Linked DNA regions of Notamacropus eugenii. The protein of the gene in region 1 interacts with the protein of each later gene in a biochemical or structural test. Links are inferred from orthologs where the notes say so. Each region holds a gene or a part of one and is shown on either strand. Other genes may lie near its edges. The genes, in order: DCAF11 and SLBP.

What was found.
Region 2: the proteins of DCAF11 (region 1) and SLBP form a complex in vitro, tested with the Homo sapiens proteins (2 studies listed by BioGRID, with this or other methods). The link is inferred for Notamacropus eugenii from reciprocal best matches to the Homo sapiens genes DCAF11 and SLBP.

What each region holds. Positions count from the first base shown.
Region 1 is NC_092878.1:9,158,409-9,173,308, reverse strand, and holds the start of DCAF11 (DDB1- and CUL4-associated factor 11), read left to right. Parts: upstream 1-8,764; 5' UTR 8,765-8,934; intron 8,935-9,204; exon of another isoform or gene 9,205-9,339; 5' UTR 9,340-9,452; coding exon 9,453-9,562; intron 9,563-10,067; coding exon 10,068-10,195; intron 10,196-10,423; coding exon 10,424-10,551; intron 10,552-10,944; coding exon 10,945-11,009; intron 11,010-11,373; coding exon 11,374-11,474; intron 11,475-11,718; coding exon 11,719-11,865; intron 11,866-12,364; coding exon 12,365-12,419; intron 12,420-12,767; coding exon 12,768-12,836; intron 12,837-13,199; coding exon 13,200-13,257; intron 13,258-13,340; coding exon 13,341-13,526; intron 13,527-13,858; coding exon 13,859-14,012; intron 14,013-14,752; coding exon 14,753-14,900. Other genes in the region: PCK2 (phosphoenolpyruvate carboxykinase [GTP], mitochondrial), read left to right, coding at 1,292-1,429, 1,708-1,803, 2,108-2,562. UniProt on the Homo sapiens protein: May function as a substrate receptor for CUL4-DDB1 E3 ubiquitin-protein ligase complex.
Region 2 is NC_092877.1:50,010,542-50,025,602, reverse strand, and holds the start of SLBP (histone RNA hairpin-binding protein), read left to right. Parts: upstream 1-7,639; 5' UTR 7,640-7,796; coding exon 7,797-7,870; intron 7,871-9,092; coding exon 9,093-9,260; intron 9,261-13,987; coding exon 13,988-14,092; intron 14,093-14,668; coding exon 14,669-14,728; intron 14,729-15,061. UniProt on the Homo sapiens protein: RNA-binding protein involved in the histone pre-mRNA processing.

The DNA.
Region 1 (14,900 bases):
CCCCCACTAGATACCTGGAATTCCAGCATCCTCCAATATCATAGTATTACAAAAGTCTTTTCTTCCAGAACTCCTAGATTCTGGCCCTCCCCAATAGTCTTTGCAATGCAGCAAGAACTTTTTCTTTCTTATTCCTTGAGGTCTACTTGTGGGAGGAAGGAACATTCATCTTACTTGGCCCTCAGCCACCCTTTCTGCAGCCTAACCCTGGCATCATCCTTCATTGTATAAATACTTCTCTTCACCTTCCTTCACCGTTGTCCTCAGGCTAAGTAATCTCATGTCCCTTAGTATTTCCTTATAAACCAGTTTTTCAACCCTTTCATCATCTTTGGATCCTTGTTCTGAGCCCTCCCTTAGCTTTCTCTGTCCCTTGGAAGTTAAGAAGTACAGAACTCTTGTGTGGGTCAGAGCGGGGAGGAATATAATGGAAGGATGGTCTCCTTGTGGTTCCAACAGCCTATATTCATCCTTTCAGGGTCTATTATCACAGTCACCCTCCTCTATGTAATTACCCTCATCTTCTCAAAGACCATTATTAAGTTCCATACCACACTCCCAACCCTTCCCATTCAACGGAGGAAACCCAGAAAATTAAATCTTTCCCCACAGGTCAGTTTCCCAAACCTTTCATCATATTTGGATCCAGCAGTATAACTATGGAGTCTTATGACTAATCCCAGTTCCCAAATATATACTGTATAGCAGGGTACTAAGGGAGGAATGGATGGGAGCGGGTAAGCAGTCAGAACTGGAGTATGTGATGTTATCCAGGTGTCTCCCAACCCAGAAATCTGACCTGTAAGTCCTGGATTAGAAAGAGCAGTGTTCTACACTCATTACAGATTTCAGAGGTTTCCCTTTGGAGCATCTCCCCACCTTTGGTCATAATACATTTTTCTGATGTATCCTAAGTGCTTTCTGTATATTGTCAATTCCACTCAACAAGGCAAGAATTAACTCTCATATTCCAGTCAGTGTCTGAGCAGAGAACATTAAAAGAATCTCCTAATATCACATCAGGGATAAATGTCTAATTCTAACTCAAGGAATTTGCAAGGGGGGCTGTCACATCACAAGCCCCAGGTCCTGGATGGATTCCAGGTACTCTCACATTTTTTCATCGGCAAACAGCAAGTCATAGCATCAAAGAAAGAACATTCTCTTCTCCAGAGTCAGGGAAGGAGCCTATTATCTTGATCTGAATTACCAAAAAGAGTTGTGGACAAACAGCAGGGCATATATATAGAGAGAGTTGGATTCAAAGTAAAAGTGTCTGTCTCGGTGTCAGGTGACAAGGAGCCCTGTGCACATCCTAACTCACGATTTTGTGCCCCGGCCCGCCAGTGCCCCATCATGGACCCTGCATGGGAGGCCTCTGAGGGAGTACCCATCGATGCCATCATCTTTGGAGGTCGACGACCCAAAGGTATGGTCTGTGCAGACTCAGTGTACTGAGAATCTGCCTTCTGACCCAGTGATCTGGTTCTATATAGGGGTTGAGTTCCTTCAGTCCAGATTCTCAACTGAAGAAACCCTTCTTCAGAGTTCCCATCTGCCCTGCCTTAGAGATATCAGACTAGAGACTGAAAGGAAGGCAGTGGGTCCAAGTTGATCCGTAGGGCACTAGAGGGAACATGATAGGCAGGGGGATTGGTTGAGGGCTGGGAAAAAGGCTGTCTGTAATCTGCTTAATTGGCTTCCCAGGAGTACCCCTAGTATATGAAGCCTTCAATTGGCGCCATGGAGTCTTTGTGGGTAGTGCCATGCGCTCTGAGTCCACTGCTGCAGCTGAACACAAAGGTGAGTCCCACTGCCCATCACTAATGCCACATCCCACTTCCTGACCTTGCCTCCTTAGGCAGACCCCAATCACTGAGCATTCCTTAGGCCTCCTCAAGCCCTTCTTTATCTCCTGACCCTATCTACCTTAATATCAAACCCCAAGGAGCCCATGGGAAAGCTGTTACCATCCAGCACCTTCATCATGTACTGAGAGATTCCCAATATCTCACCTATTACATAGCTCCTCTAATCTTGATGCAGAGGTACCCCCTTCTCCTTCCAAGCAAGGAGAATAACCTGTTATCCTATTCCACATTCCCAGGAAAGACCATTATGCATGATCCATTTGCCATGCGGCCCTTCTTTGGCTACAATTTTGGGCGTTATTTGGAGCACTGGCTGAGCATGGAAGGGCGGCAGGGAGTCCAACTTCCCCGAATCTTCCATGTCAACTGGTTCCGGCGTGATGCAGCAGGCCGATTCTTATGGCCAGGCTTTGGGGAGAATTCTCGTGTGCTGGACTGGATCTGCCGAAGGCTAGAGGGTGAGGACAGTGCCCAAAAGACACCAGTGGGTCTAGTGCCAAAGGAAGGGGCACTGAATCTGAGTGGCTTGGGGTCTGTGGACTTCTCTGAGCTGTTTTCATTGCCTAAAGAGTTCTGGGAGCAGGAGGTCCGTGAAATACAAAGCTACCTGAGGGAGCAGGTTAACCAGGACCTGCCCCGGGAGGTACTGGCTGAGTTAGAGGCATTGGAGGGGAGAATACGAAAAATGTAATCTGGGAACACAGGCCAGAGAAACGTACATAGAACAAGAGAAGTTGTACTAGTCACCTCCTTTCAGCAGGAGAACTACAGAGAGAGTTGCAAAAAATAAGAGCAACTTTGATTTGACTAACAACTTTCATCGAGGCCACAAACCAGGATGTGGTTGTTATACACACTGTCTAAGCTGTTGTTTCAACAGTATTCTTTATTTTACATAAAATTTGTATTGCTTTCATTAACTATCAATGCACATAGTTATTCACTATTTTCAATATTTCTCCACCAGTTCTATGATCCTCTTCCCCCCAATCCCTCAATTGATCCCCATCAAAGTCTTTGCTTATCCAGCCTGCAAAAAATTCCAAGCTGTTTGCATGAACCATGGCTAGCATTGCACTTTGCTACTGGGGAGAGCCCAAGGGGAAGGAGGGAGGGGAGCACTGTGCGACCTTCATTACCCCAACACAGAAGGCCTACAGCAAGAGAGAGCTAGATCTGGAGTTAGGAGGACCCAGGTTTGAATACCTCTTCCGCCGTTTGCTATCTGTGTGACCTTAAATAAGGCGCTTAAGTTCTCTGAGCATCATTCTCCTCATCAGTAAAAGAAGTGGCTTGGGCTTTGTGGCTTCCAAGGCCTCTTCCAACTCTAAATCTATGAACCTGAGTCATAGAACCCACAGTCAATCCCAAAGTTGGGGACTTAATATTGAAGCAATATAAAGAAAATCCTAGTATTTCTTCCTCTTTTACTGACCCTGCTCCCCAATGCCCCACCTTTTCTCCAACCTTCCAAACTCAATTCTTCCCTATCTCAAGAGAGAAGTGTTCAGAACCTCACACACAACAAAGTCCTGGTTCTACTTGCAATAAACTTGGCCTTTTCCATGTCCTGTGGATCATTTCTAGAGGCAATAGAAAGAGTGCTAGAATTGGAGTCATAAGACCTGGGTTCAAATCATGGTTCTAACTCTTAGCACATGTGTCACAACCTCTCTGTGCCTCACTTTCCTTGACTTAAAAGCAAGTGAGCTGGACAAGATAACCAACAAGGTGTCCTCAAGCTCTACATTTATGATCCTATGACCTCTTCTTGTTCATGTCTCAAGTATCTTCTCTGTTGCATAAACATTTTTAATATCTTCATCCATTAACTTCCTGGACATATGTTTAGTAAATTTATAAATGATGCTGAGGTGTCATTGGTGGCTTGTACCCAGATAATAAGACCAAGATCCAATTAATAAAATGGAATTCACAGAAATCCCTTCAGGGGAAGGTACTAGGGAAGTGGAAAAAATAGTCCTGAATCAGATAGAAGATGAATGGATGTATAAATAAAACAGAAAGACCTAGGGGTCATGATGGACCACACGCTGAAACCACGTCAACAGTACAATATGTAGTTGGGTTTTTTAAGTGAACACAATCCCACTCCAATAATCCAGTGGCTCTCTGATCTTATCAACATCTGATGTTACAGATAAAAGCAAATACATTCCTGCCTATCCTATGTAAATCTGTGGCCTCCTATAAATCTGACACAGGAGTCTACTCAATGTACTGAGAACTGCTTTTTTGTTCTTTTTTCCCCAAATTTATTAATTTATTTGTTTTCAGTTTTCAACAATCCCTTCCATAAGTTTCAAATTTTCTTCCCCTTTCCCCAAGACAGCATGCAGTCTTATATGTGTTCTACACAGACATTCCTATGAAACACATTTTCACATTAGTCATGTTGCATAGAAGAATTAAAACGAATGGGAGAAACCATGAGAAAAAAAAACCAAAACATAACAGAGGAGGAAATAGTCTACTTCATTCTGTCTTCCAACTCCTTAGTTCTTTCCCTGGAGGTGAATGGCATTTTGCATCATGAGTTCTTTGGAAATGTTTTAGGTCCTTGCATTGCTGTGAAGGGCTAAGTCTATCAAAATTAGTCCTCACACACTGCAGCTGTTACTGTATACAATGTTCTCCTGGTTCTGCTCACTTCACTCAGCATCAGTTCATATAAGTCTTTCCATTTTTTCTGAAGTCCACCTGTTCATCATTTCTTATAGCACAATTGTATTCCATTACATTCATACACCACAATTTGTTCAGCCATTCCCCAATTGATGGGCATCCCCTTGATTTCCAATTCTTGGCCACCACAAAAAGAACTGCTATAAGTATTTTTGTACATGTAGGTCCTTTTCCCATTTTTATGATCTCTTTGGGATAAAGCCCTAGAAAGGTAATTGTAAGGAGTCCAGTGGGACACACTAGCCAACCATCTATCCCTCCCGGTCAGAGAACTTCCTCTGGAAGGGACCTTAAGGGCATTATATTCTAGTGCCTTCATTTTACAGTCACTGTATGACAAGTTCAACCTTTTTTTTTTTTTTTGATGATATATTTCAACACTTCCCTGATGATATCCTTTACCCTGCCTCTCCTGTACCGTTTGTCTTTTATAACACACTGCAGCCTTCTCACATTCATTCACTGGCTTCTCTATTGTCCTCTGGGGCACCCTTGACTTCAGGCCTTCAGAGTGTGTATTCCACACCTTACAGCCATCCTACACTATCAAAAGGACCTCCCAATCAAATCAATATGTACTTTGATACTTGGTGAGTTCAGTACAAGAGTGAGCACAGAAATGCTAGAAAATGTTTCGAGAATAAGAAATAAGGAAAGCCAAAGATTTGCTGAATGTACAGATGTCACATATCTATATAAATGAAAACTTCAAGAAGATTTGGGAGGTTAATACAGCAAATGATATAACAAAAAATGAAATATTTTAACAGACAGAGAATCACTCATTACTAATGTGGGAAACTGTCTGTATCCAGTCAGACTACCAACTTGATAGAGCAAAGTTCAAAATTAATACAAAACTAGAAAGAAGACAAACAGGAGAGAGGAGGAAATAGGGCATTCAAGTGAAACAACTTCAACTACCACAGTTGCTTACTCTTTTAAAAATTCTGATCAAGGGTTTCATAAATAGCACGTAATAACTTCAAGGTAAAATTCTCTTCAACACTTGCAGTCCTGTGTCCTGTTCTAGTATGCAGGGATAAGGCAGAGACGATTACAAGGTTTAGAAACATATTATCTGAACAAAGGGAAAGGTATTGCCAGGTATTGCCACACCTTGTAGTCATTCAGGTACATAACAGCACCTGAAGCACAAAGTATCTCTCACAGTTTGTACAGTATGATGTACAATTAAGCCTTGATAAATTATTTTAATGAGGATGGTAAGATTGGTCTAGGACATTTCAAGCCAAAGATAATTGGTAGAAAATGTTCTTCTTCCTCGTGGCCAGGGCTGAGTATGAAATAAACAACATAAGCAGGTGCGCTGGCATTCCTTACTACATGAAAACTCCGCAGGTTGTTCCAAACTACAGGGAAGTGCACTTGCCCAATGATTCAGGGCAGTAGGTAGGCTGACTGCTGGTACAGTCAGGAATCTAAACAGCCCACTGAGTATTCTGGCTTCCCTCATCTGCCCTCTGGTGGAGATGCTAGTGAGCAGGAAAGCTGACCTAAGATAGGCAGTCAACAACACTGAGAACCTATTCAGTATAGGATATGTGGAGGATGGGGAAAGGCACTGGGGAGAAGGCGGGCAGAAATAAAAGAAACAAAAGGTCCTTTCCCTTTCATACAGCTGGGGAGAAACAGTACAGAAGCACATCAAAAAGAACATTCACCAAGCAACAAAAGGCCAACGACTGTAGAGTGGCGCCTCACTGATTCAGAGTGGAGGAGAAATATGATTTAAAAGTCTAAATTATGTTTTCCAAAGATATAATTTTATTATTTTAAGTAATAATCACACCTTATTGTAACTAGCTTATTACAGCTACTTCACAAAAGGACTTTCCCACAAGCATCTTGCTGGCATTTTCCTCCAATGCCATGAAGTAGGTAAGGGAAGCATTTCCCCTATTTTAGGGATAAGTTTAGGTGACTGCATCATTCAGCTAATGAGCAGTGGAGGCTAGAATCTCAATCCCAGGCTGGGTGGGTCTTGACACGTGTCTGCAATGAGACTCAGCAGGTGAAACAAACTAACTAGTTCTCAGGCTACATCGAGAGTCCAGAGGCATAAGGACCATCACACTGCGCTGCAGGGAGGCTGCTACAGGAATACTGTATCCACATCTGGGAATGGCATTTTAGGAAAGACTGAAAACTAGTGTTGCCTAGAGTCAAGGGCGTGTCGGGAGGTAAGTGGGCTGGTAATGCCATCCCAGCCTCAGGACCCAAGTAAGGCTGCTTAGCCTGGGAAAGACACATTTAGGGAGTAGAGGTAGCGCAGAAGTAAAGACAATTGTTTGGTGCCAGGAGCAAAACCAGGAGCGAACTTGGGAAGAGCAGAGATGTAAAGAGAAGGGAATCCCCAAGTCAGGAGCTTCCAACCCAGGCTGCCTAGACGGCCCCTGCTCGGTGGGTCGGAAGTTCCTCCACTCTTTCCACAGTTCCTATTTAGGGACAGCTAGGTGGGGAAGGGCATGCAGTGATGCACCTGCAGTTAGGAGGACCTGAGTTCGAAGACAGCCTCCGGCACCTTCCAGGTGTGGAACCCTGAGCAGGTCACCCAGTCTGTTTGCCTCAGTTTACCCAGCACTACAACGGTGACAGTTGCAGCCCCCACCTCTCCGAGGGGCAAGGACAAACTATTTATAAAGAAAGCTTCGCCAGCGCCTGCCACACAGCGCTGTACCCGATTAGCGTGTGCCTGCTACAGACACCAGGTTCATGCTATACAACCTACGTGGCTAAGCTAGGTCCGAAACGGGCACAAGTAAAACGATCCCAGTTAAAAAGGAGAGGAGGGAGGGGGATAAAAGCTGTCTGTGGAGTGGGTGGATGCCTCTCCTAGCGTCCAGCTCTGGAAGGCAGGAGGCGGCGCCATGGGAGGCAAAGATTCGGAGGCTCGATGGAGAGCGGGGCCAGGCACACTCGAAGGGGCTGGGCTCTCCGTCCCCGGAGGTCTTCGGGCAGGGGCGGCGGGGGCGGCACCGAGAGGCTCCCTTCCACCGCTCCACTTTTAGGGCGCTATCCACCCAGATCACCCGATAGAGGCGGGGCCCGCGCGGTGCACCAGCAGGGGGGGGGGGGGGGGTGCACCAGCAGGGGGGCTTGGAGGCGGGGCCCGCGCGGTGCACCAGCAGGGGGGGGGGGGTGCACCAGCAGGGGGGCTTGGAGGCGGGGCCCGCGCGGTGCACCAGCAGGGGGGGGGGGGTGCACCAGCAGGGGGGCTTGGAGGCGGGGCCCGCGCGGTGCACCGGCTCGGAGGAAGGGCCGCGCTGGCTCAGCACAACAAAGGGACTTTGGCCCTCGGCCTTGGACTCGACCCTAATTAGTTACACATCAACCCGGAGCCAAGGAGGGGGGCCGGGTACCTGGTCGGGGTGGGGAGGGAAGAGGGGCACGACCTTGGACCCTGCACGCACCCCGGCAGAGAAGGTCCACAAACACCCCGGGAGGGGTGCGGGAGGGGTGGGGGAGGGCCTCCCCCCAGAGCAACGCCAAGGTCCAGAGCGTTCCCCAGGGCCCGGGGCGGAGGGGGAGGGGCGGGGCGGACATCTTTAGGGCGGGTCCGTCTGAGCCCCAGCACACAGATTTAGGGGTGCCTGTCCTGGGAGTGTGGTGAGAATGGGCCACGGGGTGGGTAGGGCAGGCCGGCTGCCAGGCTCCGGCCTAGAAGGCAGGCTCGCGGAGCTCCACGCTGCCGGCCCACACCGTTGGGCGGCTACTAAAGGCACAAAAGCCCCTGGGCCCCGCGCGCAGGCCCGGGAGGGCAACGTGCTGGAAAGGGCGGCTCTGAGACCGTCTAAAAAGTGTGGATCCCGGGGAACTGGCAGCTTTAGGGACCGACTTCAAATGATGCCGCTGGTGCTCGGCGAAGGCCAGCCCCCAGGCGCCTGGCTAGCAAATCCGCGACTAGGTATTAGCATATCCCGCCTCTCCCTTTCTCCGCCAATCAGCACCACCCCAGAAGAATCCGCGGCCGCGCCTACCCTCCGCGTTCCCTACCTATCCCAGCCCTCGGAAACAAAAGTCAACAAGGTTTCCCCGTCCCCTCCAGCCTCGCCCCGCCCTTTCACCCGCTGTCCTCCCCTCCTCCCCTCCACAACAAGCTCACTTAGTCCCGCCCACTCGTCAATCACTCGGACCCGCCATCCGGCGAGCGCACTCGGGTGGGCGGGGCCAATTGGCCGATCGCGTGACGCAAGCGGGAGGCGAGCCCGGGAATCGGAGCGCTGCGTGACGAAGCCGCACAAATCTGTTAGAGCCGTTAGGAGAAACGCCGTGGATAAATATAAGCCGGGCCTCACGTGCCGCCCTCTCGCCTAGGTTTTATGTGCTGCCCTTGGTGAGTGAAGAGTCGCGGGCCAGGCATTAACCCCTCTCTTGGGTGGGAGGAACCCTAACCTCCCCCCCCAACCCCGCGTACACACCCCGGACATACCACGTGGCCCTGAGCGGGAGGGGGAGGGCGGTCAGAGGGGAGGGGGAGGGCTGCGAAGCCGGATTCTAACCTCATTGGCTCTCGCCTCCGCCGGCTGTAGCAGGCCCGCTCTCTGATTGGTGGGCAGGCTGCTTTCCTCCAGGAGAGCTCTGATTGGCGGCCTCCCGGGGATCTCCCCCTCCTCCTCCCTTCCCTTCCCCCTGGAGCTCGGCTAGGTGAGCTCGGAGGTGAACCTAAGGAATCTCCCGGCGAGGGCTGCGACTCCTGGCGTTGGAGAGTGATCGCCGCCCTCCCCGCCCCTTTCCGCAGGCTGCAGCTCCGTCGGCCTCCCTGGAGCCCTGGGAGCTGTCACTGGCGGAGGGGAAGGGCCCCCTGCTGTGAAGAGGCCCCGGCGGAGGGCTGGAGGATGCAGTGACCGGGAGATGGACTCGCCGGGCAACAGCAGCGCCTCGGAGGCCTCGCCGTACGGGAGATATGAGCCTCGGTACAGCGAGGAAGATGACGATGTGGATCTGGCCTATTTCCTCCCCAGGTAACTGGCTCTGCGCCGTGCGTGGGCCCCCACGTGGGCCCCCAGCCCCGCCATCCGCGCGGAGCCCTGCCGGCCTCGGGGCCCTTCCCCAAGAGAGGGCGGCGCTGTGCGTGGGGAAGGGGGCACAGTGACATGCCCACTGTGGTAGTGAGGTGCCCGACTTGCCAAGTAAGTAAACAAAGGGGAAGGGAAGGGGGCGGGGCTCCGCGAGGTCGTGTCGGCCGCGACCGTGGACTTGAGCTGGAAGATCCCTCCGCAGTTGTTTGTACAGGCAGAACTCTTCTGGTGGTCAGGCATTCCGCTGCTGACTTTGGCTCTGGAATCTCGGCTGAGGTTGCCAGAAGTCTGCTGAGATACCTCCCGAGAGCGGGCTTCTGCAGCCTGATGATGCCCAAAGCTCGTCCTCTTGGGGCCCCCGCTAACAGAAGGGCACCCGAGATTCCCTCTCTGAGGTGAAGTGGCTTAGTATTGAGGGATCACCCCCTGCCATGAGGTCTCTCCACAGGGGCCAGGTGAGACTGGTACAGGGAGGTGGTGCCACCAGCCTGCAGCTCATCCATACGCTCTCTGACTCAGATGATGACAATGACAGCCCCTGGGAGGGTCGTCTTGGTGACAGATACAACCCACCTGGTAAGAGGAAAGGGTGCTTGGCTTCCAGCATCGTAGGCATCAGTCGGCCCAAAGTCTGGCTCCGCAGGAGGTGGGGAGAGAGATCAGTTAATGAGATGAAGAGTCCTTTGAACCTCATACCTCCTTCCATCCTCCTTTACGCTGGTCACCTTCCTGGCCATTCATCCTCATTGACGTCTGTCTTCTGTGACTGAAAGGCTGAGGCAGGGTTGCTGCTTCTTCTTACAGTGGATTCAAACCCAGACACCCGAGAGCTGGAGTGCAATGAGATCAAGACGCAAGTAGAGCTGGCCACAGGGCAGCTGGGATCCAGTAGGATAGTGCAGGAGCAGAGCTTTCCTCGAATGCTGCACCAGGTAGGCTCCCTTACCTGCACTGAGCTAGGCACTTTGTGGATAAAGAACTGATTTAGAGTCAGAAAGACCTGAGTTGGAACCTTGTCTCAAACATTTGCCAGCTGTTTGACTCTGAGCAAGTCACTTACCCTCTCATCCTCAGTTTCCTCATCTGGAAAATGTGGATAGCACCTGCCTCACAAAGTTTCAAGGCTTGATCAGCTGGTGTATAGAACGCACTTGGCAAATGTTAGAGTTCTGTAAATGTGTTAGCTATTTGGGGGGTACAGAAGGGCAGTCAGAAGTTCTGCCAACTACACCTGGAATGAGGTGAACTCTAGAGAAAAGAGTTTGAAGCTGGCAGCAGAAGTACCTCGTGTATGGTGGCCTTACTCTCTTGTCTCTTCCCTGCAGAGAGAACGTGGCCTCTGCCATCATGGCAGCTTTTCTCCTGGGGAGCGATCCCGTGTAGTGTCTCAGTAAGTTTGGGACCAGGGTACTCTCATTTTGAATTTAGTGGGACCAGATTTGAGGAAGGTCCAGAGGACAAGTAGATGGGACCATACCATAAAATTAGAAGTGGACATATTAATAGGGAAAGTTGGAGTTGTTAAAGTTGGGAAGGAAGGGTAAGAGTTACTGCTATTGGAGGAAATGAGAAAGTTAACCGCTGTTGAGTAAGGAATATAATTTTTTTTATTAAAACTTGGTAGTATGGATAAGGAAAAAAATTCTGAGCAAAGGGAAGAGGGACCTCATGTACTGGTGTATCTGGGGTGCTGTTGACACCAATACCTCCTTACCTTGATGTCCTCTTACTGTTATTTTTCTCCTTTTTCTCAGTTTCTTGCCCAATTACTTGAGCTTCACTGACTCCTATTTCCATAAGGCTTTCTGTGGCGTGTACAGCAAGGATGGTCAGATTTTCATGTCCGCTTGCCAAGGTACCTAGACCCAGTGACCACTCCCTTGAATGGGGAACCACGAACCCAACCCCAGCACAGAGAACAATTTCCCATCAGCCCATAGATTGGGGAAGCCTCTGTTCCAAGATGCCTTCTGGTTGGGAGATGTCAGCAGGATGTAATTCTGAATACCCTGCATCAGAAGGAAGATCTCATAGCTGTAGTAGGTGGCCAAGGGTGAAAAGAGAAAGTTTCCTGAAACCTATCTATTCCCAATTCTCAGACCAGACAATTCGACTGTATGACTGCCGCTATGGCTGCTTCCATAAGTTCAAGAGCATCAAGGCCCGGGATGTAGGTTGGAGTGTTCTAGATGTAGCCTTTACGCCTGATGGGAACCACTTCCTCTATTCCAGCTGGTCTGATTATAGTGAGTATACCCACCAGCCCTTTCATCTTTCCATTTTGGACCCTTTAACCTCCATCTCCCAGGATCTCTCCTCTGAGCTAGGTCCTTAGGCTCCATTACAGGAAGCCCACACTCTCAGAATGAGCTTTCACCCCTCCGCCATTGGCATGGAGATCGCTTTTTGTGCCTTCTCTCTCCTTTGGTCTTCTAACTTCATTTATAAAGTCTTAGACTTGAAAGAGACTTTATATGTCATAACAGACCTATGAAGAAATCTTCCTTGTAACATCCCTAACAGATGCATCTGCTTGAACATGTCTAATGAGAGGGAACTCATTACTTTTACAAAGCATTCCCTTTCATTTTTGGATAGCCAGAATTGATTAGAAAGCCCTTTCTTATATTGAGCTAAAACCTGCTTCTTCTAAAACTTCTACCTGTTGAATCTTACTCTGCCCTCTGAAGCTACACAGGCCCTATCCCCAAACTTCGAGTGACTCTTGTCTCTCTTGCTTCTTAGTTCATATCTGCAACATCTACGGGGAGGGAGACACACACACTGCCCTGGATCTGAGGTACTGGCTTCCCTCTTCAGCTAGACCCACCAGAAACTTAGGGAAGGCCTTCCATAATGAATTTCTCTGAAACTGAGGCACACGCTGAGAGGGCAGAATGCAGGGACTATCTGCTTCTCTGAGTGGGAGAGCCCTTGGGTGGGAGCTACATATCATTTCTCATTGGGAGGAATAGAATGCAGTAGATGGATACAGCAGAAGTTCCAAGTTCTCTGAGACATCCCTTCATTCTGACACATGTAAGCAGGACCCTGTTCAGTTTCCCTCCAGAAATGGGGTGTATGGCTTTCTTTAATAGAGACTCAACGGGAAGTCTTCCTGTCTAACAAATTCTTCACTCTCTTTTAGGCCAGATCAACACAGTTTCATCGTCTTCTCCATTGCTGTGTCCTCAGATGGGCGAGAGGTGCTGGGAGGGTGAGTATTTTGGTATTTCTCCACAGTTAATTAAAAAGTTCTAATCTGGAGGTTAGGCCTGGTTTTGAGAAGGCCTACATTCTGACACCCCTAGGCAGTCATCTCATAGGTCCTCAACCAGGCTTACTCTCAGGTGAATTTTTCCCATTTCTTTCCTAGTCCCTTCTCATTGTGGAATTTGAGACCTTAAATTTCTTCTCAGCTTTGAACCAGCTTTTCTCCATTGTATAGTAGTTGAATTGTGTGAAATTAGGGACCTGGCCCTAAACATAAAATCTTCACAAGTTCTCCCCAGAGACTTCAAAGAAGTTACTTCTTGAATACTGACTCAGTTGTTACCCAGCCCACACCACTTTCTTTCAGTGCCAATAACGGATGCCTCTACATCTTTGATCGAGAACAGAACCGCCGCGTGTTGCAGGTACTATTCCTGAGAACTAAACGTCATGTTTTCCATCTCCTTTTGGCTAGAATATTCAAATATCTGTCTTTTCCCTTCTCTAGATGGAATCCCATGATAACGATGTAAATGCAGTGGCTTTTGCTGATACAAGCTCCCATATCCTGTTCTCTGGGGGGGATGATGCCATTTGCAAAGTTTGGGACAGGCGCACCATGCGTGAGGATGATCCCAAGCCTGTGGGTGCACTGGCTGGGCACCGAGATGGCATCACTTTCATTGACAGCAAGGTGAACAGAGGGAAAGAAGTTAAACCCCAGGGCATAAGACCTGCTTCTGCTTACTGGTCCCCAAGGATTAGGGTTCCCTATACTAGATCAGGTCCCCAAGCCACCATCAGTAGGTTGACTTAGCCGGTGCCTGAGAAAGTTGAAACACCTGGCTAAGAGGTAGGGTCTGAGGGAAATACCAGAAAATGAATTTGATTCAGTGAGAATAGGGAGCAGTCTCAGAGGGACATAGCTTTTGTCAATTGACCGGAAAAATAAGGCAAGACCCAAGACTGCAATGATTGTGTTAAATGTTGCGTTGATTGTATTGATTTGTGGTCATGGGTTCACAGGGTGATGCCCGGTACCTCATCACCAACTCCAAAGATCAGACCATAAAGCTGTGGGATATCCGGCGCTTTTCGGGTCGGGAGGGCATGGAAGCCTCGCGGCAGGCAGCCATTCAAGAGTACTGGGATTACCGTTGGCAGCAGGTGCCTAAAAAAGGTGGAGTTGATTTTGGCATCATTTTTAAAGAGTTGATTTTGGCATCATTTTTAAAGGGTTCTATTGATCTTGTTTATGTTGCTTCCCAAGGACATTTGGCATCTTACCCTCCAAGGCCAACCTCCGCCCCTCCCCCACAACAAAAGTACAATTAAGTAAAACCAATGTATTGTCCATATTTGGCACCATGTGCCTCATTCCTAACCTGTAGTCACCACCACTCTTTGTGCCAAGAAGAAATGAGGTATATCTCATCATTCATGGTCTTGAAGTCAAGCTTGGTGAGCCCATCGATCAGAATTCTGATGTCAGAAGGGGCAAGAATGTCACTCAGAGTTGTTTTCCTTTGTATTGTTTTGATCAAGATATAAATTGTCTTTCTAGTTTTACTTAACTTTTTGTCAGTCCATACAAGTCTTCTCAGTTTTCTCTGAATTCCTCATATTTATAATTTCTTATATCACAATAATTTTCCATTACTTTCATATGCCACATATTCAATAGATACTTATCTTGCTCCCAGTTCTTTGCTTTTATAAAAAGTTCTGGCATAAATATGTGTCCTTTGGTTCTGTTTAACCACTTTGCAGTTTATGCCCAATACTTCTGAGTCAAAGAGGGCACAGTTTAGTGACTCCACTGTTCTGTTCACATCTTCTACCAGGAGGTTTCTCAGTCATGCAGGAGCTTGGCTGCTCCTCAGAAGAGCCCACTAACCCCTTCCCCTTGTCTCCATATAGCCTGGCAGAAGCTGAAGCTCCCTGGGGACAGCTCCGTGATGACATACCGGGGTCATGGTGTGCTCCACACCCTTATCCGCTGCCGATTCTCCCCTGCCCACAGCACTGGCCAACGCTACATCTACAGTGGTTGCTCCACTGGCAAGGT
Region 2 (15,061 bases), on another chromosome or scaffold:
TTGCCAAGTTCCTTCCGGGCCTCCGTTCTATGGTCTTCCCTATCTAAGGGCTTACATACCGTCCTTGCAGTGCAAAGGCATCTGGAAAGACAGAATGGGGGAATGAGCAATGCTCAGATGCTTTCTGTTCCTGAGTGCAGCAAAGCAAGAAGTCAAATAATAAACACTAATGCTGTACTAGCAGTAGCAACACCTCTGGTTCTGGTGTTGTTCAGTGGTGTCTGAGTCCTCATTTGGGGCTTTCTTGGCAAAGATACTGGACTCGTTTGCCCTTTCCTTCTCCAGCTTTTCTGACAGATGAGGAAACTGAGGCAAGCAGGGTGAAGTGACTTGCCCAGGGTCGCCCAACTATTGAAGTGTCTGAGGTTGGATTTGAACTCAGTCTTCCTGACTCCAGACTCAGCATGTTTAACTGTTGGGCTACCTACCTAGTTGCCCTAGGTTTATGGATTATTATTTCCACATAACAACCCTAAAAGGTAGTGCAAGTATTGTTATTTCCCATTTTAAAGATGAGTTTCAAAGAAAGGAAATTACTTGACCAAGGCAACCCAGTCACTAAGTTTCCTAGACACCATGCCTCTTCCCATCGAATCTATCCCAATATTGCAGAGTAGGTCACATATCTATTTCAAAGCCATGGGTTTTCTAAAGGTAATAAAAAGAGCAGCCACAGTAGAATAAATCAGCCAGCATAATAATGTCTTACACTCCTGGCCAGCAAAGCAGATGTCCTGTCTCCCCTACAAAGCCAATGCTCTGGCCTTTCTTGCTGGTGGCTACCTAAGATAAACTATTCTGGGAGAAAGATTCAATTCAATTCAGCAGACACTTATGAAGATCTATCACTGGCAAGATCCATTGTCTGGGTGAGGGGAAGATGCAGAAATGAAAGAAAACCTTATCTCTATATAAATCCATGGCTAGGGGCTAGGCCATCTGATGAGTCCCACATTCTATAGCTAGGCTAAGTAGAAAGAGAAATATTTTTTTTCAAAGAAATCAATACATGTATAATTTAGAAGAGCATTAAAATAGTCAGTAGATATATCTTGAAGATAGAATTTGTAAGTATAGTCCTCTCACACACTTTTATTAGAAGGGAAGGAGAATCAAATCATGTCCTAGACACATCTGTGTCCATTAGACCCGTGATATTCCTGTGGAACGTACACTCTGGCCTCACTCTCCCCACCTGCACTGAAGGGAGATAGGACTTCTGCTTTGCAGGCCAGGAATGTAAGACACATTAAAGCTGGCCTATTTATTCTGCTGTGGCTGCTCTTTTTATTATCTTTAGAAAACCCATAGTTTTGAATTAGCTATTTGACATAGCTAATATGTCATACCTTCCCTCCAAGTCCTGGGGGTAACTGCCAGGGTTGGGAGGTGGTATTTCTAATGCCCTTGTCCAGTGTGTTACTTCCAATATCAATAAATCAGTAAATATCTCCTCCATATCAGTTAGCCAATTAACATCAGTTAGCTTTTAGGCAATTATTTATTAAAAAGGTACAACAGTCTCCAAACAGAGAGCACACTCTCCTTTACCACCACAGCTCTCGGGGAGAGTAGGTTCAATCCCCAAGTAGTTACTACCAGTAGTCTGTCCACAAAGTTCACTTGGAATATGACATAACTGAGAGGTGACTCTCTTTGGTGCTTGTAGACTGGTGTCTCCACTTTCTCTCCTCTCACTGTCTTCTTAACCCCTTACAATCCAGATTCCAATCTTATCATTCCACCAAAACTGCTCTTACCAGTGATATCTTGGTTGAGAAATCCAATGACCTTTTTCTCAGTCCTTATGGTCCTTGATTTCTCTGTTGCTTGTGACAATGTTGATCACTGTCTCCTCCTTGATGTGCTCTTCTCTCTAGTTTTTTGGGACACCATTCTCTCTGGTTTCTTCTCCTACCTCTCTGACCACTCATTCTTGGTTCTCCTTTGCTGGATCCTCCTCCAGATCACACCCTCTAAACCTTGGTGTCCCTCAAGGTCTGTCCTGAACCCTCTTTACTACTTCACTTGGTGATCTCATGAGCTCCCCTGGATTTAATTACCACCTCAAGGATTTCCAAATCTACCTTTTCTGCCCCAATCTCTCCGTTGACCTCCAGTTTCCTTTCAGACATCTAAAACTAGATGTCTAGTAGCCACCTGAAATTCAGTATGTCCAAAACAGAACTCATTATCTTTCCCTCAAACCCTATTCCCACACCTTTCTCCCCTTCTCTATTACAGCAGAGGGTAATACCATTCTCCCAGTTCCACAGGCTCCCCAACCTAGGAGTCATCCTGGATTCTTCATTAACTCTTAGTCTCCATATCCAAGTTATTGCTAAGGATCTGCTGATTTCACCTTTGCAGTTATCTCCAGAATGCGTGGGCTTCTCTACTCTGACACAGTCACCACTCTGGTGCAAACCCATATCACCTCTGGTTGAGTGGTTTTAGTCATGTTGTTTGTGGGTTGTCTCCCCCATTAGATTGTAAGCTCCTTCAAGGCACGGACTGTCTTTTGTCTCTGATATTCCCAGTGCTTAGCACAATACCTGACACACAGCTAGGGGATTAAGAAATAAATGTTTATTGACTAATAAGTCCATTCACTGCTGCTCTAGGTCAAACAGGTTGCTCTCAGGGCTGGTTCCTTAAAGCCTTGACTGCTCTGGCCAGCACGGATTCTGCCAGAACTCTGGTGGCTCTTATGACTTCTCAAAGATCACAAGGCTGTAGCTTTCCATCTCTGACATCCATCCATTTAAGATCAGAAAAGGATGAACACAACAGAAACAGAAACAGAGGCATCACATGCATTCACATCTAGCGGGCATCTCCTACTACTGCTATCTCTCCCCACAACCCCATGGCATCCACCATTCTTTGTTCCTCTTCACTTGAAAACCCCGGTGGAAGAGAAATCAGGTCTGTCAGTCCAGACCTTCAGCTCCAGATCAGCAGCTATTTAAAAGACTTTCTGTCGCCATGCAGTAAACCAACATGACCCATAGGATACTTGCATATGCAACGAAGTAGAGCAGGGAAGGGCAGCTCCATTACACACTTACAAAAATAGGCTGACCAAATCTCTAGGTTGGTTGACATCATGCAGGCTCGAAAGACTGGGTTCCCACTGGCCAGTCCTGCCATTACACCCCAATACATCAAGCTTCCATGATTTTTATTCATGGGATGTTCACTTCACTCCATCAAAATGAACATGGCTCTTTCACACCTTAGTTTCAGGAGAAGCCAGAAAAATTCAGTCAATGTGATAAATGCCTCCCAACTTAGCTAGGTTAGCTTCCAGATGTTAGGCATACCAGACATCCCCAAGAACCTGCCAGAACTTCTCCTCGGTTATCATAACCTTAGAGAACTCGAGTTTACCTCCAGACCATAGGGAAGCCCAGGAGGAGACTGTCAGTGTATCACAAAACAATGGCCAGCAAAACTGGGGATTTGTTTATGCATATTTGTTATAAAGGTTTCTTTTTCTTTTCCCTCTGCTGGGGATTGGGGAATGTTGTGGGAGAAAATAAATGCTTGGGTTTTTTTTTTAATTCATTTTAAAAAGAACACATGAATGTAAAAATTAAATAACAGCAAAAAGAAACAAACCAATAAGCAAAGGTGAACATTACTAAATATTTGAGAATACAACTTCTGCAGAAAATAGATCTTTTTTTAAAATGAAGACAAAGTTGAAACAACCAACCGAAGCAATCCGATCACAATAAATTTGATCCTACTAACAATGAATGCAATAAAGGTGTATACCTATACATAAGGATACACACATGCACACATGTCATATATTATAATATATATCATACACTAATATATACATATATGTATATGTATATTACACAAATGAAGTCAAATTTTAGTCAGGGGATTTCTCCATCACTTGCTCCCTCCTTCCCTATTTTCTCCCCCCTTTTCTTTTCCTTTACTTTTCCACCCCTACACTCTTTTCAACTTCCTTTTGTGTGTTTTCTTCCCCTCCTTGAGGGCAGAGACTGTCTACTTTTTTTCCTGTTTGTTTGCCTGCTTAGAACAGTACCAAGCACATAGTAGGCACTTCATAAATGTTTGTTGACTGACTGATCGACCTGACAGGCAGGGTGATCTACCACTGTTCACAGAAGCCTATGACACAGAGGTCCGAATTTGTGAAGAGAGCCAAGGCAAAGTTAAGCGCTCTTCTTGGGGTTTTTTTGTGTGTTTGCCCTTCATTCTCAAAGAGGATCATGACATCAAGGTGATGACATGACTTGCAGTTGACTGATTTGAGGGAGGGAGGGCTGTGCAAGGTCACCAACCTCACTTTCTTCTCCTGAGCCATCTGGGTGCAGTGGCCTGAAATTCCTCAGGATGGCTGGAGATGGCCCAGGATGCAATGTGAGACCCTGGCCCTTTCTGGCTAAGTCTTATCACATTCTCACTTTGAGTGAGATACACCCATTCAATGAATAGGCTTCTTTAAGTAGTTACTCAAGGGATGACCTCTTTAATAAAAAAAAAAAAAATCAAACTGGGTGGAGAAGACCCTCAGGGTTCCTGGAAGTTAAGAGGACCATAATATTTGTTATATTTCACAATGTCATTCATTTGAGCAAACAGTATAAGTTGGTTTCAAAGAAAACTCACAATTTTTAAAAATTGAATTAACTTAGGAGCGAGAATGGGTAATCCTCTGAAATGGTCAACAATGACATTTAAGTTTAATTCCATTAAATATTTCATCATCTGTAATTTTTTTAAAAAGTGAAATAATATCCTTCCTTAATGGATACAAGAGGAAATCCAATGGAGCAGCTGAACTACTACAATTCAAGTGGATTAAAGACAGTTTAAATACCCAGGACACATGCAAAGAAGAGAAAATCTGACACTTCTGATGAGCAGCCTTTTTCGAAAGCCTTGTCTGTAAGATGCAAAGAAACATTTGCCTCTTAAACGGTTGCTTACAGAATGGTTAGATATAAAAGTATTCCCTCATTACAAAGGGAAAATGTTGGTGTTGCCCATGGTGGGAGGTGAATCATATGGCTTCCTCATGTCTCCTGAAACTTGAATATCTGATGAATAATTTTTGAAAAAACTTAGCGCTCTAACTAAATCAATGCAAGGTCTTTCCTCAAATTTATACTCTGATCTAAAATGGTTAAGTGACTAAATTTATGAAGAAGTGAAACCTCTGGTTATTAAGTTGGCAAAATGACATTTTTGATATGTTTCTCATGTTAGGAACTACATACCTCACACATAAAATAGAAGGAAGTAAAGCTATGTTTGCTCGCCATTTGACTCTATTCTCATTTTTTAAAATTTTAAAATAATATTGCATATTTCCCAATTACACGTAGAGAGAATGTTTAGCATCCCTTTGAGGTTTCACATTTTCTCCTGTTCTTTCCTCTCTCCTCCCCCTTCTGTAACACAGTAAACAATCTGACACAGGGTATACGTGCGCAATGGTCATTTTATTTTAAAGATGTAGACACTTCCGAATGTGAAGGCATAAGGATCTCATCCGCCATGAACAAACACGATACCTTTGCTCTGACTTCACCAGAACGAGCACGGCTAATCGATATGTCGAAACAAACATTTAGATTTAGACTGTTTGGGGTTTTGGCTCCAGCTGGATAAAGATCTTTCCGTTCCGTCAGACAAAGCCGCCACTCAGGCTGATTGGTAGGCAACGTGGGCTCCTACTGCGGCTGCGGGAAAGACAAACGCTCCGCTTTGAAAGGCCTGACAACGGAATCCCCAGCAGCGCGGCCCGCGAGGAGGCTTGGCGCGGAACGAGGCCTCCCGCCGAGACGCTGTGGCGGCCAGCATCTTCGTGCGTTACGGGCGCTACCTGTCTGCGGGTGAATAAATGACTGTCCAGTTATCTGTGCTTTAGATGTGCGTGCGGTGAAACCGCGATCACCTCCTCACCTCAACAAAAGACAAATAAAACCATTCACCTGAGACGATTTTGTGAAAGCGCGAACATCGTTGTACAAGAGAGTACTCAGTGTCAGCCAAAGCCCCTGGTGGTGGCGCGGCGCACGCGCACGGCAGAGCGCCTGCAGCGCATGCGCGCGCAGCTGTGCGCTGTTGTCTTCCTCATCCTCGGAGGTTCTAGAAGACTGCGGTTACTGGGGGGTTTGGGGGGGTGCTCGCACTTCTCCTTGTCCTCTGTGCCCATCACAGTGACGGGCAGATGACAGGCTGAGTGGGCTGTTGACCCGGGGTGTATAAAGTCAGCTCTGGCCCCACGGCCCGCTTTCACACCAGCTTGGGCGGTGCAGAGCGGCCGGCTTCGCGTGCCCCGGTCACAGGCGAGGCCCATGCACGTGCCCGGCCACCTCCGGCCAACGGGGCTGGCACTGGCCGTCCCTGGGAGAGGCTTCGGGGCAAGAGGGTGGGCACCACCGGGCACCACGGCCCACCGGCCGGGGAGGGGTCCCAGCTCCGGCCCCTCCAGGAAGCCTCCGCTCTTTGGGCGGCTGGTGGCCCTGCTGACTCAGGGAGCGGGGAGGCCAAGCAGCAGCCGCTGCTCGTTCGGCGCCCAGGGGGCATTGTGCCCTTATTAAGGGCTTACTGTGTGCAACACACAGACAGACGCCGGCCCGACCTCGAAGAGCTCGCTCACCTTCAAAGGCTGAGGCCAAGGTTTCAGCGGCACGCCGGAAGGAAAGGGCCCCGCCTTATCACAGCAGGGGGTGATGGCTTCTTTAATGGTTTTGGACCCTTGGACGCTGCCCTGGGCTGGAAGCACCAATCCCAGTGTCTGGCACACAGTAGGTACTTAATAGATGTTGATTGGTCATTGATTGATTGTGGATTGATCTAGTGGTCAAGATGTGTGTGTGTGGGGGGGTGCTTCCTGTCCGAGCTAGGCCAGGGGCCCGAAGGCTCGGGGCACCTGGATTGACTGAGTGACCTTGGACAAGTCATCTCTCTCGGCACGAGTTTCTCCATGGGTTAAACGAGACTGGACTGGACGGTCTGTAAGCTATGATCTGGACCTCTCTAAGCGGGATACAGTCAGGAGGTCACTGGGCTTGGAATGGAACGGAGCTGAAGTGAATTGGGTTCTCTCCATCTCTCCTCCCGGCCCAGAGCTTCCAAAGATCGGTCTTTTTCTGCGTCCCCGCCCTGAGATGACGGAATTGATTCGGCCCAATCAGCCATGAGCATGAGCCCTCATTTCCCCATTTCCCCGCCCCCTCCTCCTCCCCGCCTTAATCTTCGCTCTCGGCTTCAGAATTTCCCGCCAACACCCCTCCCCAGCCCGCGCAGAAGGAGCCAATGAGAGCCTGCGGCGCGCTGATCTGCCGCCCGGACTTCTTCTGGGTCGAACTAATTCGGAATTAGGGGGAGATTTTGCTTGCGCCTTTCCCAAACCCACCTGTGGGGGCTCGTTTATCCTCCTATACATCTGCGTGCCCTTTTTCCTATTACGTTTTTGCCCCGACGTTAATTGGAAATTCCCTCGTCCTTTTTACCGGATCGAAACTTAGTGCCCTCTTTTCCAGACTCCCCGCCTCCTCCTGACCACGCTTCGATGGTTCGTCCCAGGCTCGCGAGAGGCGGTGGAGGGGGTGGGGGAGGGGTGGGGCAGAAGGCTTATAAAAAGCCGTTGGAGGAAGTCGCCACTCGCGCGCGAAATCAGTCTGCGCCGGTGCAGCGGCTTTGGAGCAGCTCCTCTGCTCGACGTTAAGGAAGGGAACGTCCAGACGGGACTTCTACTCTCGCCAGAGCTCGTCCCCCACCCAGCCGCACACCTGATCATGGATTGCCGGCAGCCGAGTCCTCGCAGTGCCGGGACGAGCCCAGGGCATGGCTGCTGGGGCGGCGACAGCGGGTAAGTCGGGCGACGACGGGCGGACGCCTTCGCCGTCTAGTCTGGGCTAGCGGCGGGCCCGGGCCTTAGTGCGCCTGCGCGGCGGCCCCGGCTCCACCTTCTTGCTCCCCGGGATGCGGGTGGCGGGAAAAGACGCCTTCACGCCGGGAAGGATGCGTGTTAGGAAGGGCCTGGGGGGGGGGGGGGGGGAGCTTGGGATGAGGAATTTGGCCATCGATGTCTGAGTGGGAGCTTCCCGAGGCCCTCTTTGTAGCCCACGTTCCCGAGGGGCCCGCCGGGGCCGGCCTTGGTGAAGAAGGAACCGAGGCGCGCAGGGGGGGAGGGGCGGGCCCCGGGACCCCAACCTCCTTAAAATCATCTTATCCTGTTTCAAAATTGCCGGTACTGAGCCATTGAGATGTGGGGGGGAGGGGTACTCTGAGTGTTGCGTACGAGTGTCGGGGAGTGTCGTGTTCTCTGTAATACACCCGCTTCTCCCCCAAAAAAGGATTTTATTTAGAGAACCTGGGCTTTCTTACTAGCGAAGTCACTTTTCCAGGTCCAAATTAGAATTTCTTTAATTTGTTAAATCAGATTAATTTGGCAGAACTGGAATTGGAATCCTGTGCTCCTGAAAATCAATTTTACATCGTTTCAGTCATTTTTAAAATGAATAATTTGGATTAATTGGCATAGCTGGAATTAGAATCCTGTGTGCTTGAAAATGTGCCTTCCATTGCGCCAGTCTGCTGCTCTCATTTGCACCACCCCCATAAAGGGGGGAGGGTTTTTGTAATCTGCCATTTTACAAATGAAAAAATGTGGGAGAAATAATGTCCCCGAGGAAGCAGCTGAACGTTCTTGCTGCTTCACCAACTGGATGTTGGCCCTGAGGTTGAAAGGGGGGGGGGGGGTGAACACGCAAACCAAGAGGTGCGCTTCTATCCAAAGGATGCCCTTCCATGTGTGCCCCAAATTAAGTTATTAGGCCAAAAACCCAACCTCATGGAAATTTTAGGGCTGAAAGGGATACTACTATAGTCTACATTGATGCTTTATCTTAGATGAGGAAACAAACTGAAACCCAGAGCCCTGAATTGACTAATCGAAAGTCACAGGGAGCCAAGTTTAGAACCTGGTTCTTCTGTTTCCTAGGCTAGTACTTTTACTTTTATCTAATCTCCAGAGCACCTCCTAATTTAGAAGAGATCAGCTAGTAAGTCTAACTTTTTCTCTTTCCTAGCACACTTTCTCCATCCCCATCCCGGTGGTCTCTTGGACGCAAAAGACGATTGGATGGAAGGCACAGAAAACCAGAAAATGTTGAGTCATCTCTGTTTGTTGAAGATGAGTCCAAATCTAGACATGCAGAAGAAAAGGAATGTCGAAATTCAGACAACAGGCTTGAAAGGTGCGAGAAACATACTTTGCCATGGGGGTCTGTTTTCTTTGTGCAAGTTGTGACTGGCAGTCATGAGGGTTTTGTGAAAATTATGTAGTCAGATCAAATTATTTATTATTTGATCCCATTTGGGAGAAATGAGACCCAAAATGTGATAGCTGAAAAGAGGAGGTATCTATCTAGGCCATGGGAAAATTTGAAGGGAAACGTCATACTTCTATTTTTACTAATTGGTCTTCATTTTATGAAAAAGTTGTGTGGTTTATTTAGTTGGCATATTCGAAACAAACCTTATTATTGGTTTCCATTTCCTAGAGTATTTGCTTTCTACTTGGGGAAAAGGTAGTGCTTAATTTGGGAGATGTACTTGAACACATCTCAACCTTTATCCATGTTTGCATACTCTGACAAATATATGGAGAGTTAGGATTTAAACTTGGTTAGAAGTATATGATCCCAATTCATAGAAACCTGGAGAGGCTGGGTTGAATTTACCACTGTGGGAACACTAGTGAGACTGGACCCAGCAAGGGTCATTCTGACATGAACCCATTATAGAATCCATGTTCCCTGGTGCCCGTGTCATTCTTAAATATCATTGACCTAAAGAAGTAATACACTATATTATGTCATGTGTTTTTGTATCCAGTGGATCTGTAATATCATGGATGTGGGTGTTCCTGCCAACAGCAGCACTTACTGCATCACATCTCAATCTGCCCTTTCTGTGCAGCTTCTGTCCAGGTCTTTCCATAAGCTTAGTCTATATTAGGACCTTTTAGCATTTCCAAAAATATATTTTGGACAAATTTTTTTTAAAACCCTAAAATTCAAATTGTTGCAGGAAAATGTCTAGTCACTTAAATTAGGTGTGAAAAATTATCTTGCTATCTGTGGGTTATGCTTTAGTTGATTAAAAATTTTACTACCTAATGTAAGTTTTAACAAAAAGCATTTGGAAATTTAACAGTTAAGAAAATGGGTACAGAATTCTCCAGGTTTTAAAATGATTGAACTTTTTGTTCATATATTTGAGGCTAATTAATTTGTATTGCTAAACCCAGGATTGCCTATTAAGAGCATACTGTAGACAATGAGACCATTGATAAGATAAGTTGATAAAACTGTGGGATTTATGTTTGTGTCTGTGGTTTGGCTTTCGGTTAGCTTTTTAGAAGATGTGAACATTTGTTTCTCCAGGATTGAGTCTCAATATTTCGAGGAGACTGAATGCTGTTAGCCAGTTTGATAACAATAGCGAGCTTTTATTTGTGCTTTAAGATTTGCAACATACTTTGCAAATGTAATTCATTTCATTTGATCCTCAGAATTACCCTGGGAGATAGATGTTATCTCCATTTTACTGATGAGGAAACTGGGGCAGATTGAGATTGTGACTTGCCCAGGGTTACCTAGCTAACTAGTAAAGTAATTAAGGGTCTGGGAACACATTTGAACTCGAGTGTTCCTCCTGACTCCATGATCTCACCTTCTACCCACTTCTTCCACCTAGCTGCCCTTTGAACTTGTACTAACTCACTTTCAACAAACAAAAATTTATTAGGCACTGTTAAACACTCAGTATTGTGTTAACATTGTAATAAACTGACATTGTAGAGGGCTATGAGAAATTATTAACAGAAACAAATTTTTTTTATATTCTTTTTGATGTAGAGAAGAGGGTCATACTAGTTGTGATAGGGTCATTTTTTAGGCATTGCGTAAATTGGTAGAAATGGACTGAATAATTAAATTTACCCTTTTGTTTTGTTTTTACATTTTATATGACCAACAATTATTGGGCTAATTTTTTAAAGAATGAATGAACAGTATCTTAAATGATTTTCTAAGTGACTTTTCAAATAATTTGATCCATAATATTTCTTAATCCTTATATGGAACAATCTGGTAGTTGTGACTTGTGTTTGAAATAGAGTAGGATGATTTTTCATTTGAATGAGACCTTAAAAGGCAAAATTGAATACTTTTACTGTTTGATTTAACCTGTGTATTGTTTCTCTTTGTAGGCAGAATTAGTGAAAATATTTTTAGTCATTAGTAATAACTACTTTAAAACAGTACTTGATTATCTCACTTGACTAACTATAGAGTAGGTTCTGTTATTAGCTCCATTGTAACAAGTGAGGAAACTGAGGCTCAGAAGTTAACTGCTCAGGGTCACAGAGCTGTGTTTGGGACAGGCTTCAGACTTGTATTTTCCTGACTCCACCATTGTCCACTGTGCTCCATTGCCAAAAACAAAACATGGTTGCAGAGTCTTACACTGAAATATGCAGACAGTCTTTATTTTTCTTTGGGCTGTATTCCTAAGAACTATCAAAGTAGACCTTCCCCCATAAGAAATATTCTTTCATTAGACAGTGTTGTAAAATGTAACTACAAATTTCTAAAGTTTGAAATAGAAATATTATGCTATAAAATGGAAACTCTACATTATTTCTACATAAAGTTACCTCCTAATTACATAAAAAGTGAATATATATCATATAAAAAATAGAAGCTCTAGGGGAAATTTAACGAATTTAAAACTGGTACCTGTTTCTATGATAATCACCTTATAGGAAACTTTTTGAAAGGTGTTGAAAATCATTTTATTTGTAGTGATCAGCCTCGTGGTTAAGATAAAAGATGCTAAAGAAGACTTCTTTTTTCATGGCTAACCTCTTCCTTTATTTTGCCTACATTTGTTTATTCAGAATTGAAGCTCCTCAATATCACAACCCAACTGATGACACTTCTAAACAAAAATTAGTAAATGTCAGAATAGTCTCAAACACCCAGCTCATTTGCATAGATCTTTATTTTGTCTTTAAGAAAATATAATTTTATTGACTTTTTTGTTTTTACATCACCCCCCTGTATCTCTTCCTCTTCTCCCTACCAGAGAGCCATTCCATATCACAAATAGTATTTTTAAAGGAAAAGGAAAAAAGTCAGCAAAGCCAATCAATACATCAGGGTGGGAAAAGTCTGAAAATAATTGCTTTGCAGGACACCTCTGTGTCTCCTACCTCTGCATTTATTAAATCTTGCTTTGTGTCTGGTAATATGTAAGGGCTAAAGATAAAAAGAAAAAACAAACAACTGGTCCCTTCCTTCAAAGAGCTTACATTGTAATCAAGGAGACAAACATAATTGATACCCACAAGATAAATATAGAGTGAATGGATGGTAATGTTAGAGGGGAAGGCACTAGCACCTTGGGGAACCAGGGAAGACTCTTGGCAAAGGGAGCTGAATTTTAAAGGAAGCCAGAGGTTTACAAGGCAAAGGGGTAGGAGGGGAGAGCTTTCCAGGCAAGGGAGATAGTTTGAAGCCAAGAGAAGGGACATATAGCTGCAAGTACACAAGTGTGTAGAGGGAAGTATTATGTTAAAGGACAAGAAAGATAAAAAGTCAGATTGTGAAGAGCTTTAAATGCTAAAAAGGATCTCATTTGAATCCTGGAGATAATAAGGCGCCTCTGGATTTTGAGTAAGGTAGTAACATTGTTGGACCTATATCCCTTTATTTTCCAAATATATCTTTTCCTCTACCTCCAGAGATCCTTCCCTCTTGATAAAGAATAAGAAAAATAACTCAGCAAAACATATCAACTTACAATATATACATTAGTCTCCCACTTCCACAAAGAAGGTTGGTGTTATGAAAATGTAAAAAGAAACCCTAATGTAGGCAACAGCATTAAATGTGACAGATGAGTAGGCAAAGATGTTGCCTGAGAAATAGCAAGATTTGTCCATTAAGAGATCATTGGTAACTTGGAAAGCTGTTTCAGTTGAGTCAGGAGGTTGGAAGGCAAATTTCAAAGTCTTGAGGTATAAGAGGAAAGAAAGTGGAGGCAATGAATTTAGGCAGCTTTTTTCAGGAGTTTGGAAAGATTAGTAAAGAAGACATTAATAGCTTGGGGGTAAAAGTGGGATTGAAGGACTTTTAAGGATGGAAGACATCTGGACATATTTAGAGGCTTTACAGACAGGAACAGGGAAATATATTGCAAATTGGGAGAGTGTATGGGGGGGGGGTAATCTGTTGGAGAATGGTGGGGAATTGAGAGCATAAGACCTTGGCTAGTTCTCTGAATTCTTCAGAGAGAAATAATAGTGTTTATATGAATCAGTGTAGAGAGAAGAGAGCAGAACCAGAAAAATAATACAGTGACTAATACTATACAATGGAAAAATACCTAAACTGAATTCTGTGATTAATGACCAAATTTATCACTGAAAAAGATCAGAAAATGCTTTAATTCAAGATAATCGTTTCTTACAGCACCCTGTTACTCCATGACATTCATGTAATACTCTAGCTGTTCCTTGCCTTTGTTTTTAGGTTTTTTGTACCTTAAAAGTGCTTCTACAAAATTTAGGTGATTTTGAGACTTTTTGTCTTGTCCTTGGGATATATGTATAGCAATGGGATTTCTGCCAGCCCATGTTTTTAAAGCATTTGTACCCTCCTTTATACCACCTCTCTTTCATGGTTCTTTGTTAAGAATGTATTGCATCCTGTTCGCACCCATCAGTTACCTATATGTAAACTCACAAATTGCTACAAAATTTCAAAATTCATTTTATCTGAACTGTAAATTTGAATTTTTCTGAATTAGTCTTGAAAAGTAAACTGAAGTTATCTCTAAATGTATGAACTTTGTCAGTTTACTTTTTTCATTGTTTTTTTTTGTGTGTTGTTGTTGTTTGTTTTTTTTTTTGCAGCTTTACCACACCAGAAGGCCCCAAACCTCATTCAAGATGTACAGATTGGGGAAGTGTAGTTGAAGAGGATGAAATGAGAACCAAAGTGAATAAAGAAATTGCAAGGTACTTAATTATATTGACTTTTAGCTCTTTGCTTGGTAATTTGATTGTCTACATTCTTTAAGCTATTCTTTTTTTTCTTTAGATTATTCTAGGCTATAAACTACGTATGTAGTTTAACTTGAAAACGTAATGCATTGATAATATTCCTGGCTAGAACATAGAATGTTAGGTAGTTCTTTGAGATGCAGAAGGTTTGATGCTTTTAGCAGAAGCTATTCCTAAATTGATGAAGGTGTAAGTAGAGACTCCTCAGAAGAACTTGTTTATGGTTATTAATATGTATTCATTTATGTGTTAAGAGCTCACCATATTGGACAGATGCAGTATAAATAGAAACATTTTGTTTTGCTTGTTAGATTACACTTTGCATCTTTAATATAAAAGAAAGTGATCCTGCCTTGAAGTCAGGAAAACTAGATTTCTAACCTGGTTTAGTTCTGTAACTTGAGCTATTAAGCCTCTCTGGGCCTTATCTGTAAAGTCTGTTGTAGCTCCAGAAATGAAATTAGATTCATAAAGGCTGAATTATTTTTAGTATTGTTTGAATAGTAAGTATAATATTGATTTCTTTTACAGATATAAAAGAAAACTTCTCATAAATGAATTTGGAAGAGAAAGAAAGTCATCTTCTGGAAGGTGAGTGACATTTAATACTTTTAATTTTATATGTCTATTAAAGATACTCATGAAAAATCAAGTGTGAATTACTGTCAAGAAATCTAGGGTGACCATTAGGAATATTATGCAAAGGGAAAGTTTAACCAAGAAGGTACATCACATTCACAAACTCTGTTATGGAAAAGTCAGTGGGAATGAATGGAACAAACTGAGAAAGTTGATGGATACCTAATGGGAGTGACTTGATAAGCTGAAATTTTATATGTTGAAGTTCATTTATATAAATATAAATATTTTCAAAACAAAGTTATTTGGCTCTTCTATGGCTCTTTGATTACCATTTGTAATTGC